Linked DNA regions of Rattus norvegicus. The protein of the gene in region 2 purifies or fractionates together with the protein of the main gene of each other region. This does not show direct contact. Links are inferred from orthologs where the notes say so. Each region holds a gene or a part of one and is shown on either strand. Other genes may lie near its edges.

Evidence for each region. Proteins that work in one complex are often made in the same cells at the same time.
Region 1: the proteins of Supt7l (region 2) and Sgf29 purify together in Homo sapiens (affinity purification with mass spectrometry; 4 studies listed by BioGRID and IntAct, counting the BioPlex papers as one, with this or other methods). This does not show direct contact. The link is inferred for Rattus norvegicus from reciprocal best matches to the Homo sapiens genes SUPT7L and SGF29.

The regions. Positions count from the first base shown.
Region 1 is NC_086019.1:190,665,548-190,673,007, forward strand, and holds the start of Sgf29 (SAGA-associated factor 29), read left to right. Parts: upstream 1-3,480; 5' UTR 3,481-3,645; intron 3,646-7,460. UniProt on the Homo sapiens protein: Chromatin reader component of some histone acetyltransferase (HAT) SAGA-type complexes like the TFTC-HAT, ATAC or STAGA complexes.
Region 2 is NC_086024.1:30,651,307-30,658,916, forward strand, and holds the start of Supt7l (STAGA complex 65 subunit gamma), read left to right. Parts: upstream 1-2,621; 5' UTR 2,622-2,696; intron 2,697-6,035; 5' UTR 6,036-6,227; coding exon 6,228-6,640; intron 6,641-7,610. Other genes in the region: Slc4a1ap (kanadaptin), read right to left, coding at 766-961, 1,625-2,287.

The DNA of each region.
Region 1 (7,460 bases), on a different chromosome or scaffold from region 2:
GAGGACCACAGTTCAGTTCCCAGCACCTACCTGGTGTCCCAGAGCCATCTGTAACTCTAGTTGTAGAGGATTTGATGCCTTCTGTCCTCGAATACTAGGCATACACGTGGAGCGCATACATATATGCAGACAAGCCAGTCATATACGTAAAATAAAGAAAAGTACTTCTTAAAAGAATGGAAGGTAGTTTTCTTACTTGTGTTTTTAATTTTTTTAGGTTCATTTTATGTGTATGAGTATTTTGCCCGCAGGTATGTATACATATGCACTGCAGCAGAAGGCATCTAATTCCCTGGAATTGGCTCTGAGGATGACTGTGAGCCACCACTGGTTGTGGGACTGGAACCCAGGTCCACCATAAGAGGAAGGGCTCATCTTGTAGTTAGGCATTCTCTGAGCCTTGGTTTTTGAGCAGAGTCTCATTATATAGCCATAGGTAACCTAAAACTCACCATGTAGACCAGGCAAGCCTTGATGCTCTGCCTCTGCCCCTGGAGTACTAGGACTGTAACAGGCCCCGACCTTAGCATAACTGACTCCATGATGGAAGTGTCATTCATCTGCTGTAAAACTCAGCAGATAGAAAACATCACCTAGCAAAAATGGAAACAAAAGTCAAATCCATCAAAGTTCATAGTTGTGGGAAGTCTCTTAAGATACTTTGTCAATGTACCTTTCTCTCTGGTTTCTGTAATTCTGCTTCTTGCTGTTGTTGTTAACTGAAGTATGTCAATCCAGACTGTGCTTTTTGTGCTTAAAAGCTCACCCAGAGAAAGGCTAGGGGCTACCCTGGAATACCAAGCAGCCAGGGTAATTGCTGGCCAGCTAATAAAGACTTTCTGTGGCTTATACCCATTTCTAAGTGGTCTTCTCTGATGAATATCCCCAACAGGATTACAGGGTTATAGAAGTGCACCACCAGTGCACCACCATGCCTAGTATTCTAGTTTGATTTTTTTTGAGACAGTGTTTCTCTGTGTGGCCTTAGCTATCCTAGAATTTCTTCTGTAGACTGAACTGGCCTTGAAGTCACAGAGATGTGCCTACCTTTGCCTCCCAGGTGCTGGGACTAAAGGCATGCACTGCCACTGCCTGCCTGTAAGTTTGATTTTTGTTGCTATAAAACATTTTAACTGAAAGCAACTTAGAGAAGAAAAGGTTCATTTGGCCTTTTTTTTTTTTTTTTTTTTTTTTTTTATTAACTTGAGTATTTCTTATATACATTTCGAGTGTTATTCCCTTTCCCGGTTTCCGGGCAAACATCCCCCTCATTTGGCCTTTTGAAGCAACAGCCCATCACTGGAGCAAAGTGGAGCAGGAATTCAGTCAGGATATTTATGTAAACAGGGAGGAGTGCTACTTGCTAGTTTGTTTGCTCACTGGCCCAAGTTTAGCTGCTGTGCTCTCTCTCTCTCTCTCTCTCTCTCTCTCTCTCTCTCTCTCTCCCTCTCTCTTCCTTCCTTCCTTTTCCTGTGTGTGTGTGTGTGTGTGTGTGTGTGTGTGTGTGTGTGTGTGTGTGTGTTTCAAGACATGGTTTCTCTGTGTAATAGCCTTGGCTGTCCTGGACTTGCTTTGTAGACCAGGCTGACCTCAAACTCACAGAAATCTACCTCTTCTTCCTGAGTGCTGGGATCAACGGCATATGCCACCATGCCTGACTTCTTTCTTTCCAGACTAGTCTCACTGGCTAGACTGGAACTCTCTATATAGAACAGGCTAGCCTCAAACTCATAGACATCTACCTGTCTGTCTTTCAAATGCTGTTAATTAGCTTTCCTATGTAGTTCAAGATCACCTTTCAAGAGAATGGTGCTACTGGTAGTGGGCTAGGATTAACATGGTAACATGGTAGTGCACTCCTATAATCCTACAATCCGTTAGACAATTCTCCACAAGCCAGGTCTGTCTGGGGAAATTCCTCAGTGAAGACGGCATTGTCCAGTGGCTCTAGCCAACTTGATTGTTAAAATTAACCAGGGCACCTGACTAGCCCTAATTCAATGAAAGAAAATTATTTTTTCAAACTTTAAAAATGTTGTGTCTGTGTGTGGGTATGTGCCCGTGAGTGCAGGTGCCAAAGGCAGGCAGAAGCATCAGTACCCTTAGGGTTAGAATTACAGACTGTTATGAGCCACCAGTGTGGGCACTGGAAACTGTACTTGGGCTCTTTGTAAAAGTAGTATATGTTTTTAATTGCTCAGCATTTCCCAAGCCATATATATATATATTTAAAATTTTCCTTGTTAGTCTGGGTGCTAAAATAGTTTGTGTTAAAATTTAAGGGGCTGGGGATTTAGCTCAGCGGTAGAGCGCTTACCTAGGAAGCGCAAGGCTCTGGGTTCGGTCCCCAGCTCCGAAAAAAAGAACCAAAAAAAAAAAAATTTAAGGTTTGCTAATAGAAAAATATCTGATAGCTTGTTGTGTGCCAGACACAGTGCTATATACTGGGAATGTCTAAAGATCTTGACCTTATAGCATTTGTAATTCTATCAGAGAATAACAATATGTGATTATAGGCTTTAAAAGACTTTCAAAACTAATTTTTGTTCTATGTATAGGTGTATATGTATCCATGCAGTCCCCTCTGAGGCCAGAAGAGGGCATCAGATGCCTTGGAGCTAGAGTTAGAGGCAGTCTGAGCCAGCTGATGTGAGTACTGGCATTCTAATTCTGGTGATCTTTCATTTATTTATTTTAAGGTATGAGTACACTGTCACTCTCTTCAAAGACACCAGAAGAGGGCATCAGATCCCATTACAGATGGTTGTGACACACCATGTGGTTGCTGGGAATTGAACTCAGGACCTCTGGAAGAGCAGTCAATGTTCTTAACCACTGAGCCATCTCTCCAGCCCGCAGCAAGTATTCTTAACCACCAAACCATATTGACTTTTTAGGTGTTATGTATGATACATTAGGATAGATAGTTGGAGTGGAAGTAGTCCCTAGGGATTGAGACCAGAACCATGCTAAGCAAGTGTCCTACCACTGCATTAACTGCCCAATCCACAAAGTAGGCATCCAAAGAATACCTTTATAGCTAAATGTTTGCATGTCCATATTTTTTATTTGCTGGGAAGATTCTGTAAATTATGAGTTCTAAACCTAAGACTGCTTATTTGGAATTTAAAAGTATTTTTAGATAAATTTTAAATTCACAGCAAACTTTAGCTTAAAGTACAGAATTCTCATATGCTTCCTGGGGGCCCTCCTTCCCTATCCCCAATAATCTGAAGTGGTTTTGTTGTTTTCTTCTGGTGCTAAGGATCCGATCCCATCACTTCCCACATGTTAGGCGAGGCTTCACACATGCTTTTCTGGTCCTTTGATTTATATGAAAGTTTTCGAGGGACATAAAAAACAAACAAGAACTCTGACCTAATAAATTGAGTACATCAAGGCACAAGTATCGAAGAACTACGTTTCCCAGGGTGCAATGCAGCACGTCACAGAGAAGTACCCGGCATGCGCAGAGGAGTCCTCCGCGCTCGACCGCGCTCATAAGAGAAACAGCGTGTGTGGTTCTTGACGTGCCGCGAACCTTCGAACGTAAGTGCGGGACTATCGTGTGAGGAAACGTTCCAGTGATTCGCTCTTCCCGCCATCGCAGTTACCAGCGCGACGTGCTGTTTTTCCCTGGGCTCGGTAGGTGGGACGGGGCCATGGCAAGGTACCTCCACGCAGCGCGGGAACGAAAGGCCAGCGTTCCTGCCCGGCGCCCGGCTCTCTGAGGCGGCTTCTGCGGAAACGCGCACGCGCCCTGGACGGGGAAGGGGGCGGGCTGTGGGAGCCGGCGCCCTGGGGTTTGCGCGTGCGCCCTACATCTCTGGAGAGGTGGGAAGCCGCTGGAGCTGACTAGTCTAGAGGCCGGCACCTGGTGAGGTCCTTGGTCCCAGACATCAGCACAGTTTACTACTTTCTTATTGAGAGGGACACTGTAGCCCAGCCTGGCCGTGAGATCGCAGTCCTCCCTCAATCCCAAGTGCTGAGATTACAGACTCCACAGCCCTAAAGGTGTCCATTTTCACAACAGTAACTTCATCCACTCTGTAGCTCACTCATCTGTCGGCTGACACATGTATCCTAGGACGTCTGCGTCTACTCATTAGCACATTCACCTGCCTCTCTAGGGAGGCCTTGTCTCATGCTGTCTCACAGAAACAGCTCTGTCAAAGCCGCCTTGAGTTCTGGATTCCCAAGTTCAGTGATAATGGCTTGGTAGCATCCTCTTTCATTGCCTCGGTCCTCTCTTAACCTAAAGAACTCTTGCTTCCATTTCTTCATCTTTAATGCTCGTACCTTCAGAATACATAAACCCTAATCTTGCCTTTTTTCTGTTCACTCCCTGGGCATTGTCTATTTCACACTTTAAATAAATAAAATTTATTTTGGTGCACTCAACTTTCTTTTTTTTTTTTTTTTTTTTTTTTACATATTTTTAATAATTTTATATAGGTTCACTGGTGCTGTCTTCAGACACACCAGAAGAGGGCATCAGATCCCATTGCAGATGGTTGTGAGCCACTCTGTGGTTGCTGGGAATTGAACTCAGGACCTCTGGAAGAGCAGTCAGTGCTCTTAACCACTGAGCCATCTCTCCAGCCCTTGTTTTTTTTTTTTTTTTTTTTTTTAGAGACAAAGTTTCTCTGTCTAGCCCTGGTTGTCCTGGAACTCACTCTGTAGACCAAGCTGGCCTTGAAGTCAGAGATCCAGCTGCCTCCGCCTCCCAAGTACTGGTATTAGTGTGCAACCACTGCCAGCTTCCCCGGGTGATTTAGATGTCAAGTTAAAACTAGCCGTCATGTGCTTCAGTGCTTTTTCATCCCGAGAGTAAATACATGGGATGTGTGCATTGCATGCTGAAGGGGGTGCACTGGGAGCAATGCACTGGGAGGTGTTTATCCTAAGACAGGACACGGTGCTCTTACACAGCTTAGATTATCAGCCTACTACACACCAAGTCCACATGGCATAGCCTGCCACTCCATATGTAGCATGTTACTACAGCAAATACTATAAAGGTGGTTTCCACAAAATGAAAAGTATTTGAGTATCTATACAGAAACAGTTCAGTAAAATACTAGGTGAGGGCCAGTGAAGAGGCTCAGAGGGTAAAGGAAGTTGTCACTAAGCATGACAACCTAAGCATGACCCATGTGGTAAGAAGAAAACCAGTAAACACTGTGGCATATGTACACCCATACTCAATAAATAAATGTTTAATAAGAAATAATGGGGTGATGAAAGTGTTTTGGGTTTATAATCTCATACATCTTTTTGAGCATTATAATCTCATGGGACTACATCATGTTCAATCTTTTTTTTTTTTCTGATGTATTCTTTGGCATGTGGCTCTATTTGTTTAATATGTGTCCATTCTGCATTGTCCTTTCACTACTGCATATCCCTTATGTCTTAGGTAATTAGTAAATGCTGCTGAATGGAATTATGAAAGGGCATAATTTCTCTTTTCTGCATGGGGGAAGTAGGTAGTCTCTCACGGAAGATGTTAGTACTTAACATGGAGACAGAGGAGACCTTGAGTAGCTCAGCTTCAAACCCGTTTCAGTGTTCTAAGTTGAAAGACTGCTTGAAGGGTGTTCAGGACTCAGCTCCATTCAGCAACCTGATTTGACAGCAGTATGTGCCAAGGCCCGGCAGAACAGAAAGATATCTAGAGTAGCAGCCTGTATGCTCCATGCTTGTCATCTGGTAGGAGAGCTGTCAGTGAAGCAGTTCATCATTTACATGAGTGACAGGTGCAAGAACAGAAGTTTACTGTGAAGACTGAGGCTGGAGAAATGTGAGTTCAGTGTCAGCCTGAACTGCACAGTGAGACCCTGCCCCTAAAGCAATAAAAGAAGCTTGGTATGGTGGCACGCACCTTTTAATCCCAGCACGGGGGAAGCAGAGGCAGATGAATCTCTGGGAGTTCCAGGTGTAAATTCCAGGGCAGTTTGAGTTGCATACTAAGACTGTGTCTCAAAACAACAATAAAAACATAACAAAACAAGAATAAAGTTTAAATGCAGTGCTTAGGCACTTTCCTGAAGTTGTGATTGGCCATAGACGAGGGCAAATGGAGGAGCCTGTGGCTGTTTGGGAGCTGTGTTGTCCTCCCCCAGCTTCATATGTAAATATCATGTTCTTGGGTTGCAATGTTGATAAGCTCAACTTGTTGAATTTTTTTTTTAATTTTTAAATTTTTATTTTTTGAGACAGGTTTCTCTCTATGTATAGCCCTGCCTGTCCTGGAACTTGTTCTGTAAACTAGGCTGTAGACTGTGATTTAAATCTTGAAAGTTGAATAAGTTAAAGTGACCTAGAAGGGAAGAAGAGAAGGATCAGGGGCACTTGAGGCAGACAGAACAGGGAAGAGTGTGTGCTTGTTTGGGGTGAAGAAGGTGTAGACTCTGGTTATCCTGGGTAGTGTGTATGATTAGTCAGAGAGATCAGGTGAATCCTTGGTTTTACTCCCAACTTTCTGAAGCTAGAAGTAGGGACATAGATACCCCTATCGCTACAGATTTCTAAATGTGTGTGGAGATTCTTTTTTTTTTTTTGTTCTTTTTTTCGGAGCTGGGGACCGAACCCAGGGCCTTGCACTTCCTAGGCAAGCGCTCTACCACTGAGCTAAATCCCCAACCCCGTGTGTGGAGATTCTTACAAAGTTTTTTTTTTTGTTTGTTTGTTTTTTTTTAAGATTTATTTATTTATTTTATGTATGTGAGTACACTGTAGCTGTCTTCACACACACCAGAAGAGGGCATCAGATCTCATTACAGATGGTTGTGAGCTACCATATGGTTGCTGGGAATTGAACTCAGGACCTCTGGAAGAGCAGTCAGTGCTCTTAACCACTGAGCCATCTCTCCAGCCCACAAGTTGGATTGGGTTGAACAATACTGTTGGTATCTCTCAAATTGTAGTTCCAGCCTATCAGGTGGAAGGTAGTTGGGTGAACATTGACCATTGTGAGTTGGATATAGATGCCCCTAAGGGTTGCTTGAGTATTCAGGCTTAGGCTGTAGTCACACAGAACTGAGTTAGAACCCCATCTTGGCCACTTACTGCTTGTGAACCTTGATAATCTGTTTTTCCAGACTCAGTTTCCAGCAAGTGCTAAATGATCAGTTCTTTTCAGGGTTATTAGGAAAATGACCTTCATACAAGCAGTTGATACATGGTAGTGCTTAGAAAAGAATGGCTGTTTTATATACATATATATTATATATCTTATGTATGTACTTTTCTGTATATACATCTGTATATCAGAAGACAGCATTAGGCAGTTGTGAGCTGCCATGTGGGTGCTGGGAAGTAAACTCAGAACTTTTACAACAGTAGTGAGTGCCTTAACCACTGACTCATCTTTCCAGCTCCCCACTCCCACCCCACCCATTAGGTTTTCTAGAGAACCAGAACCAGTAGGATCAAGATACATGAAAGAGTGTGTTAGC
Region 2 (7,610 bases):
GTCATCACGATCAGCAGCACAGACTTTTACCTGTTGAGCAATCTCATCAGGCCACAACTTCTTTCTTTCACTCATTCTGTTTGTTTTTTGAGTCAGGGTCTCTAAAGTAGTTCAAGTCCTGAAATTCAATATGTAGATCATGCTGGCTTGAAACTAACAGAGATTGTGCTGAGGTTAAAGTCCTGCATCGTGATGCCTTATTAGCCCCAACTATCTTTTAAAGCTATATTTTATGCATATGAGTACTCTATCTCTATGTACACCTATGCCAGAAGAGGGCATCAGATCACATTATAGTTCTGGGATTTGAACTCAGGACCTCTGGAAGAACAGTCAGTGCTCTTAACTACTGAGCCATCTCTCCAGCCCCTTCCCCCAACTATCCTTTCATAGACCTGAATACCTATCATCCAAAATACGGGGCTATACAATAACCTCTTGGATTTTTTTGTACTTTGTGAAAATAGCCTAAGAGGTGAAATATCAAATTCTGATTTCTCAGCCAAAGGAATGATATCAATTTTCCATGTACTCAGAACTCTGTGTGTGTGTGTGTGTGTGTGTGTGTGTAAATGATGAAAGCAATATGCAGATTACATGGTGAGAAAGAGTGTGTGTATAATACCCATAATTCAAAGTTTTATACCTTTGAAGTTAGTGACCTGGGCTTTCGAACTATGTTTACCCCTTCTTGAGCTGTGTGAGCAAAAGCATTTGAGGATGCCACCAGGAATGAGCTCAGAACTTCCAATACCAGTTTCTTACCCATTCCCCACGTGCAACCCATCTCCTCATCTTGACCACTTGTATTTCTCTTCCCTGCAGTGGTATCTGCTTCATCTTCTTCATCTGAATCTTCACCTAACATCTTCTTCTCCAATAACGCCTGCTGCTGTTTGCGAAGTTCCTTCAACTGTGTTACTGTTAATTCAGATTCTGCCTCTCGGTCTTCCTCTGGTCCCTAATGAATCAAGGAAAAAGTATATACGTATGTGGATTAAGAAGTGGAGAAATTGGGGCTGGAGAGATGGCTCAGAGGTTAAGAGCACTGGCTTTTCTTGCAGAGGTCCTGAGTTCAATTCCCAGCAACCCCATGGTGGCTCACAACCATCTGTAATGGGATCTAATGCCCTCTTCTGGTGTGCATGAAAACACTCATATACATAAAATAAGTAAACAAATGTTAAAAAAAAAAAAAAAGGAGGGTTGGGGATTTAGCTCAGTGGTAGAGCGTTTGCCTAGCAAGCGCAAGGCCCTGGGTTTGGTCCTCAGCTCCGGAAAAAAAAAAAGTGGAGAAATTACTTTCTGAGACACTGCAGTTATGCAGATCTGTGGCTCCGGACTGGGCCCCTATGCTTTTGTCAATGGTTACTAGAAGAATCTTTTTTTCTCAACTAAACCTTAAAGAAACTCAGAATCCCAGCACAGTGAAGTCCCAAGATTTTTTTTTCAATGTGGAAAGGTTTAATGAGAGAAGAGAAGAAGAAGAGAGGAAAGGCCGGCCATGGGCACGTGGGGGGAAAGGGGAAGATGGGGAGAGAAGGGACAGGGACAAAGAGGGCACGAGAAGAAGAGCAAGAGAGAGCAAGAGCCCACGATTTTTATTTTAGATTTTTCTACCTACCTGAAGGATAAAGAGCCGAGTGCTGCCTCCAAAGCGAATAACGTGCCCGACATGGACTCTACAGTAAGTGCGGGGTGGGATGCGAGTTTTGTTGAGGAAAGTGCCGTGGGTACTTCCCAGATCATAGAGATAAAAGCCCTGCCCCTGATCCTCAGAGTCTCCGCTGGGATCCGACCCCCGGTGCTGTAGTACAGCATGGTACCGAGACACGGAAGGATGCTCCAGGCATATGTCACAGCTAGCAAGCCTCCCGAAAAGGCAGTAGCTCGTGTCTTTCAAGGTGCGTGTACCAAGGATGGTGCCACCCTTCAGGGTTTCGAGACTGTAAGGGGCCGTGGCTGGGCTGCCCCACGATGGCTCTTGGTACGGGGGAGCCCGGGTCGGACCGCCAGAAGCAGGAGCTACCCTCGGAGAGCGGAGCTGTTCCACCGGTGGACCCCCAGTCTCCTCGCTGTCCGGCTGCGGTGGCGAGACCTCGGGCTCCCCACATCCAGAGTCTAGCTGCGCCGTGCTACATTCCTTCTTCACATCTTCAGGAACTGATGGACTGGAGGCCGGAGCCTTACTCCGCACTGCGGGAGGCACCGGCAAAACAGGCTTCTTAAACTCGCTACTAACATCCTGAGGTGCTGGCGCTTCTAACTGAGAGGTAGCATCAGCCATCCTCAGACGGGTGCAATCTCAAAATGTGTCCCTCGGAAACCCCTACCCCTCGCCCCCCATGTTCCTGCTCACGTCTCCTCCTCCTTCTCAGGTCCCTGACGTTTCTCTGGATTGCAACGTTGGAGTTCCCCTTTCAAAACTCACAGAACTTTAAAGTTGTGAATAGCACTAGGGAGTGACAATACCAGAAAGGGGGGAGGAGCTCTAGGAGTGCTGTGCAGAACACGGACATTTTTAGGCGTTGCAACCGGATAGTAATAACTTCCTGTGGCAGAGGGCGCTTGGGAAGAAGTGCTTCCGGTGGCCTTGGCCCATTAATCAATAAACAAGGCTCCTAGGCTTGACCTAGTCGTCGACTCGGACCTGTCAGAGTCAAGGCAGCCGCGTAGACCACTCCTGAGACAGGGCGGTGAGTGTTTGAGCTTTATTTTCTGGTTCAGGGTCAGAACGTCCCATTTTTCTGCTGCCCTGTAAATCAGACTTCCCAGGATCCTGTGGTTGGCGCCTAAGCCTAAGCCTGCAGATACCGAGCAAGGTATCTTGCTCCTACTCTGCAGCTCCCGAATTTAGGCTTGATAACTCCTTTACTCCTTTTGTGAAGTTGGGAAAGAAGCAATTTCTTGTTTGTTCATTCTTTTATTATTCGTAACAAACTGTTGAAGCAGCATGTTTAGTGGCTTTACGAACCTGTGCATCGAAACCTCTTTTCTCTTTAACTCTTTGTATTTACGACGTTGGCACGACACTGCACCACAGCTTCCACATCTGAAAAATTGCAAATAGTAGTGTTATTTTTAATAAGATTGTTGGAAAATTGAACTAAGCAGTAGTTTATATTATAACTCTTTGACAGAGGCCCGGATACTATACGAAGATGGTAGCTGTAACAAGTGGGAGAATGCAGATGAATAAGTAAACTAAAGTTAAGGTCCAGGGATAAAAGCAAATGAATGTGAGAATACAAAGAAAGGGGGTGTGTTGGGGAAATGTTGGGGGATGGCCATTTCAGTTGTCTTAAAGAACAAATTCAAGTCTGACAAAGATGTAGAAGGCGGCAGAGGATTCTGGCAGAGATCCCAACTCAAAGGTTCAATTATAAAAATGTCTGATGTTCTCAAGAAGCTGAGTAATGGGGCTGGAGAGATGGTTCTGTGGTTAACAGTGCTTGCTGCTCTTCCAGTGGACCTGGGTTCCATTTCTAGTGCCCACTTCAGGACAGTTCACAACCACCTCTAATTCCAGCTCCAGCGGGATCTGATGCCCTCTTCAGATCTCCTTGGCACCTACATACACATGGAGCATACCTACATACCCAACCCCCAACAGACAACAATAAAAATAAAATCTCTGTGAATTCATGGCCAGCCTGGTCTACAGAGCAAGTTCCAGGACAGCCGAGGCTACACAGAGAAACCCTGTCTTGAAATTAATTGATTGATTGATTGATTGATTGATTAAAAATAAAATACATTCTTAGCAAAGAAAATAAACTGAGGGGCCAGTTAGATGGCTCAGGAGGTAAAGGCACCTGCTACCAAGTCTGACAACCCGAGTTCAATCCGTGGAACCCACATGGTGAAAGGAGAGAACTGACTCTCACAAGGTTTCTTCTGCTTTTCACATGCACAGACACCGAAAATAAGTAAATGGGAGAGAGAGAGAGAGAGGGAGAGAGAGAGAGAGAGAGAGAGAGAGAGAGAGAGAGAGAGAGAAGAAACTGAGTAGTATATTGTTAGAACTGAGGTCGTTTCATCCAGGAAGCCCCTCATTTACCTGCAGAGCACTGAGCTCATGCCTTTAAAATAGCAGTGTCTGCTTGTTGTTATACTGCAATGGTTTGCTTCTGTTACTCTTCTCTCAGGACAAAGATCTTACACCTTCACACTTCACACTTCATCTGGAGAAGTAAATTAAAGACAGGTAATAGGTTTCATTGAATGGTAAGCCACAGAATTTGACTTTTTGCAAGCAAAAGAAAACAAAAAAGAAAAAAAGCTTGAAAGTGTAGCTCAGTAATAAATCACTTTCATAGCATGTGTTCAGTCTTCAGTACTGAGAAGGGGGCGGGGAGGCAGGGAGAGAGAGAAAAGGAAAAAGTCTAGCAACAGAGCCAAGTGTAGATCAGATTCTGAGAAAGACTGGAGCAGCAGTTCTCAACCTTTCTAAAACTGTGACCCTTTAACTATATAAGTACAATGTAGCTGTCTTCAGACACACCAGAAGAGGGCATCAGATCTCATTGCAGATGGTTGTGAGCCACCATGTGGTTGCTGGGATTTGAACTCAGGACCTCTAGAAGAACAGCAGTCAGTGCTCTTAGCCACTGAGCATCTCTCCAGCCCATAAAATTATTTTCATTGCTACTTTATAACTTTAATTTTGCTACAGTTCTGAATCCTAATGTAAATATCTGATATACAGGATATCTGATATTCCTTATGAAAGTGGTGCTCCCCAAAGGGGTTGAGAACCACTGGACTAGAGGAAGAAATACTTGTTAGAAGGCAGCAGAAGTCTCCCAGACTTCTGGGAGACAGCTCAGTCTATGAAATGCTTGCCATTGCAAGCGTGAGGATCTGAGTTCAATCCCCAAAACCCATATTAAAAAACCCAGGCATAGGTGCATGTGCTTATAAACTTAGCTTGTAAGGAGAGGAGCAGAAACGGGCAGATCCCCGGAATTTACTGTGAAGGGGGCGGTTCTGATGCTAAGGTCTTGTTCTCCAATTGGTTCTTGATTTGTCAGTACAGGAAGCTGGGGGCCAATTGCTGGGCGGAAGGAAGGTACAGGTGGAACTTCCGGGTCCCAGGAGGAAAAGGGAGAGGCAAGGAAGGGGAAAGGTTTTACTGCCATACTTTGGAGGAGGAAGAAGGGAGCAACTGTGTGAGGTCTCGGGAGAGCTGGGGCCTGTGGCCACTGCTCCAGGCGGGTGGTCATGGATGTTTGGCAGGGGCTAGGTGGGACTAGCCACTGAAGTTCGGGGCAGGTGTAGAGACAGAGATAAACATTTTAATAAGGGTATGCTTTTCCAGGTGGGAGACGGCAACTCCCAGCAACTATGCTGAGAAGGCAAGTTATAAAGAACAAACTGGGTGTGTTTTATTGACAGACTCAAGGGAAGATGGGAAGGGGCTGATCCCTAGAGATCCTGTCTGAAAAGGAAGACAGACTGTTGCCTGAGGCTGAGGCCTCCACGCCCTAAAGAATGTGTATTTGCTCATGTATATGTCCGAACTTGGGAACATAAGGCTGGATTAAAGGTTCATGAATGGCACAGCACAGATTGGAAAGCACCTATTAGTAATTTTTTGTTTTGTTTTTTGAGATCTGGTTTCTCTGTGTAGACCTGACTGTCCTGGAACTCACTCTGTAGATGAGGCTGGCCTTGAACTCAGAGATCCTCCTGCCTCTGCCTCCTGAGTTCTGGGAGAAAGGAGTGCACTACCACGTCTGGCCACCTGTTAGTATTTGTAATGCTACTCTGTTTCCTGTTCTAGCACAATTGTGTAGAAATGCTCTGAGTACTCCAGACCTCCCATTTAAGCTTGCTGCCTGTAAAGTATTTAGAATGAGGCATGCTGGGTATCCTGGAATGAATTTGTGCCGTGAAATAGGCAGTGTATATGTTAAGAGTCCCACACACCAGTCACTACTAATTAATGACTTTGATTGTCCTTTTGTAATTCAAAGAGGAATTGTCGCTGTGTGATTGGTATCTAGCAGTTATTTTTCTCTTCATTTCTTCAGGGAGAACATCGTTTGTCCTAGAGTTTTGCTAGCATCTTTTTCAAAGTGATCTTAACTTGCTCTTTATGTCAGAACTCCCTGGACTTCTGACCTTTCACTACAGAAACTTGTGATCTACAGTTGCCAGAGACGTAAACACACTTTAGGGTATCATCTACATTAAACCCAGAGCTCTTCTCTGCTTGCTCTAAAATGCTGAGGTACTGGGGAGAGATCCCAATACCATCAGGACAGACCAACAGAAGTTCCTTTGATCTGCTGCCTCGGGAGTTCCGTCTGGTGGAAGTCCATGACCCACCCCTGCACCAGCCCTCAGCCAACAAGCCGAAGCCCCCCACGATGCTGGACATCCCCTCAGAGCCCTGCAGCCTCACCATCCATACCATCCAGCTGATCCAGCACAACCGACGTCTGCGCAGCCTTATTGCCACAGCTCAGACCCAGAGTCAGCAGCAGAGCGAGGGTGTAAAGGCTGAAGAGAGTGAACCGCTTCCCTCCTGCCCGGGCTCACCTCCTCTCCCTGATGACCTCCAGCCTTTAGATTGTAAAAATCCCAATGCGCCATTTCAGATCCGGCACAGTGACCCAGAGAGTGACTTTTACCGGTAAGACAAGGCATTGCTCTGGTGTTTTTCTTAAGTGATCTCCTGCCCCATGATCCTGTTAGGGTAGTAATATCATTTCCACCTCTACATGAGGAGACTGGAGATGAGCGTGACTGACTAGGCTGATGTTGCTCAAGCCATTAATGTCAGAGTGGATGGAGGTGGTCCAAGTCGCCGAGAGCTGGTCTGTAATTATGTCATTTTTGTTTCTGTTTTTACTTTATGAGACAGAGTTTTTCTGTGTAGCCTTGGCTGTCCTGAAACTAGTTCTATGACTAGGCTGGCCTCAGACTCATAAAGATCCACCTGCCTCTGCTTCCCTAGTGCTGGGATTACAGACATGTGCCACCACTGTCTGCATTTTTAAATTTTCTACCACAATATGCATTTATTGGGTACTTATTAGTGCCAGACAGTTTACTGGAAGTGAAACAATACACTGATGCATGAATAGTAAAAATAGGCTGGGAAAGCTGTGACCCAGCATGGAGGAAATCAAAACAAAACAAAAAAGCCAGCTTGCAACGGTCAGCAGCATGTTCACATTTTGAGGATAATGTAGTTTCAGTCAGTAAAATATCGCTCGTCATATTAGGTTAGTGTCACTACAACTATGTAGCTTTTATCAAGCTTCTGTTTCAATTGTTAAGACGAACCTAGGGGCTAGGGAGATGGCTTAGCCAGTAACATGGTTGATGAGACCCAGTGTTCTGTCCCCAGAACGCAGGCATAGTGGCCTACGTTTATAATCTCAGCACTGGGGAGTCAAAGACAAACATGTCTGAGGCTCTCTAGCCAGGCAACAAACCTACTTGGTGAGGAGAGACCCTGCCTCAAAATAAAAGGGAGTGGCTGGCGGGAGATTGCTCAGTCAGGAAAATGTTTGCCATGAGAACCTGAGTTTGAGAACCCAGTTAAAAAGCTAGGCAGAGTAGTCCACGATTATAATCTCAGGGCAGGAAAGGCAGAG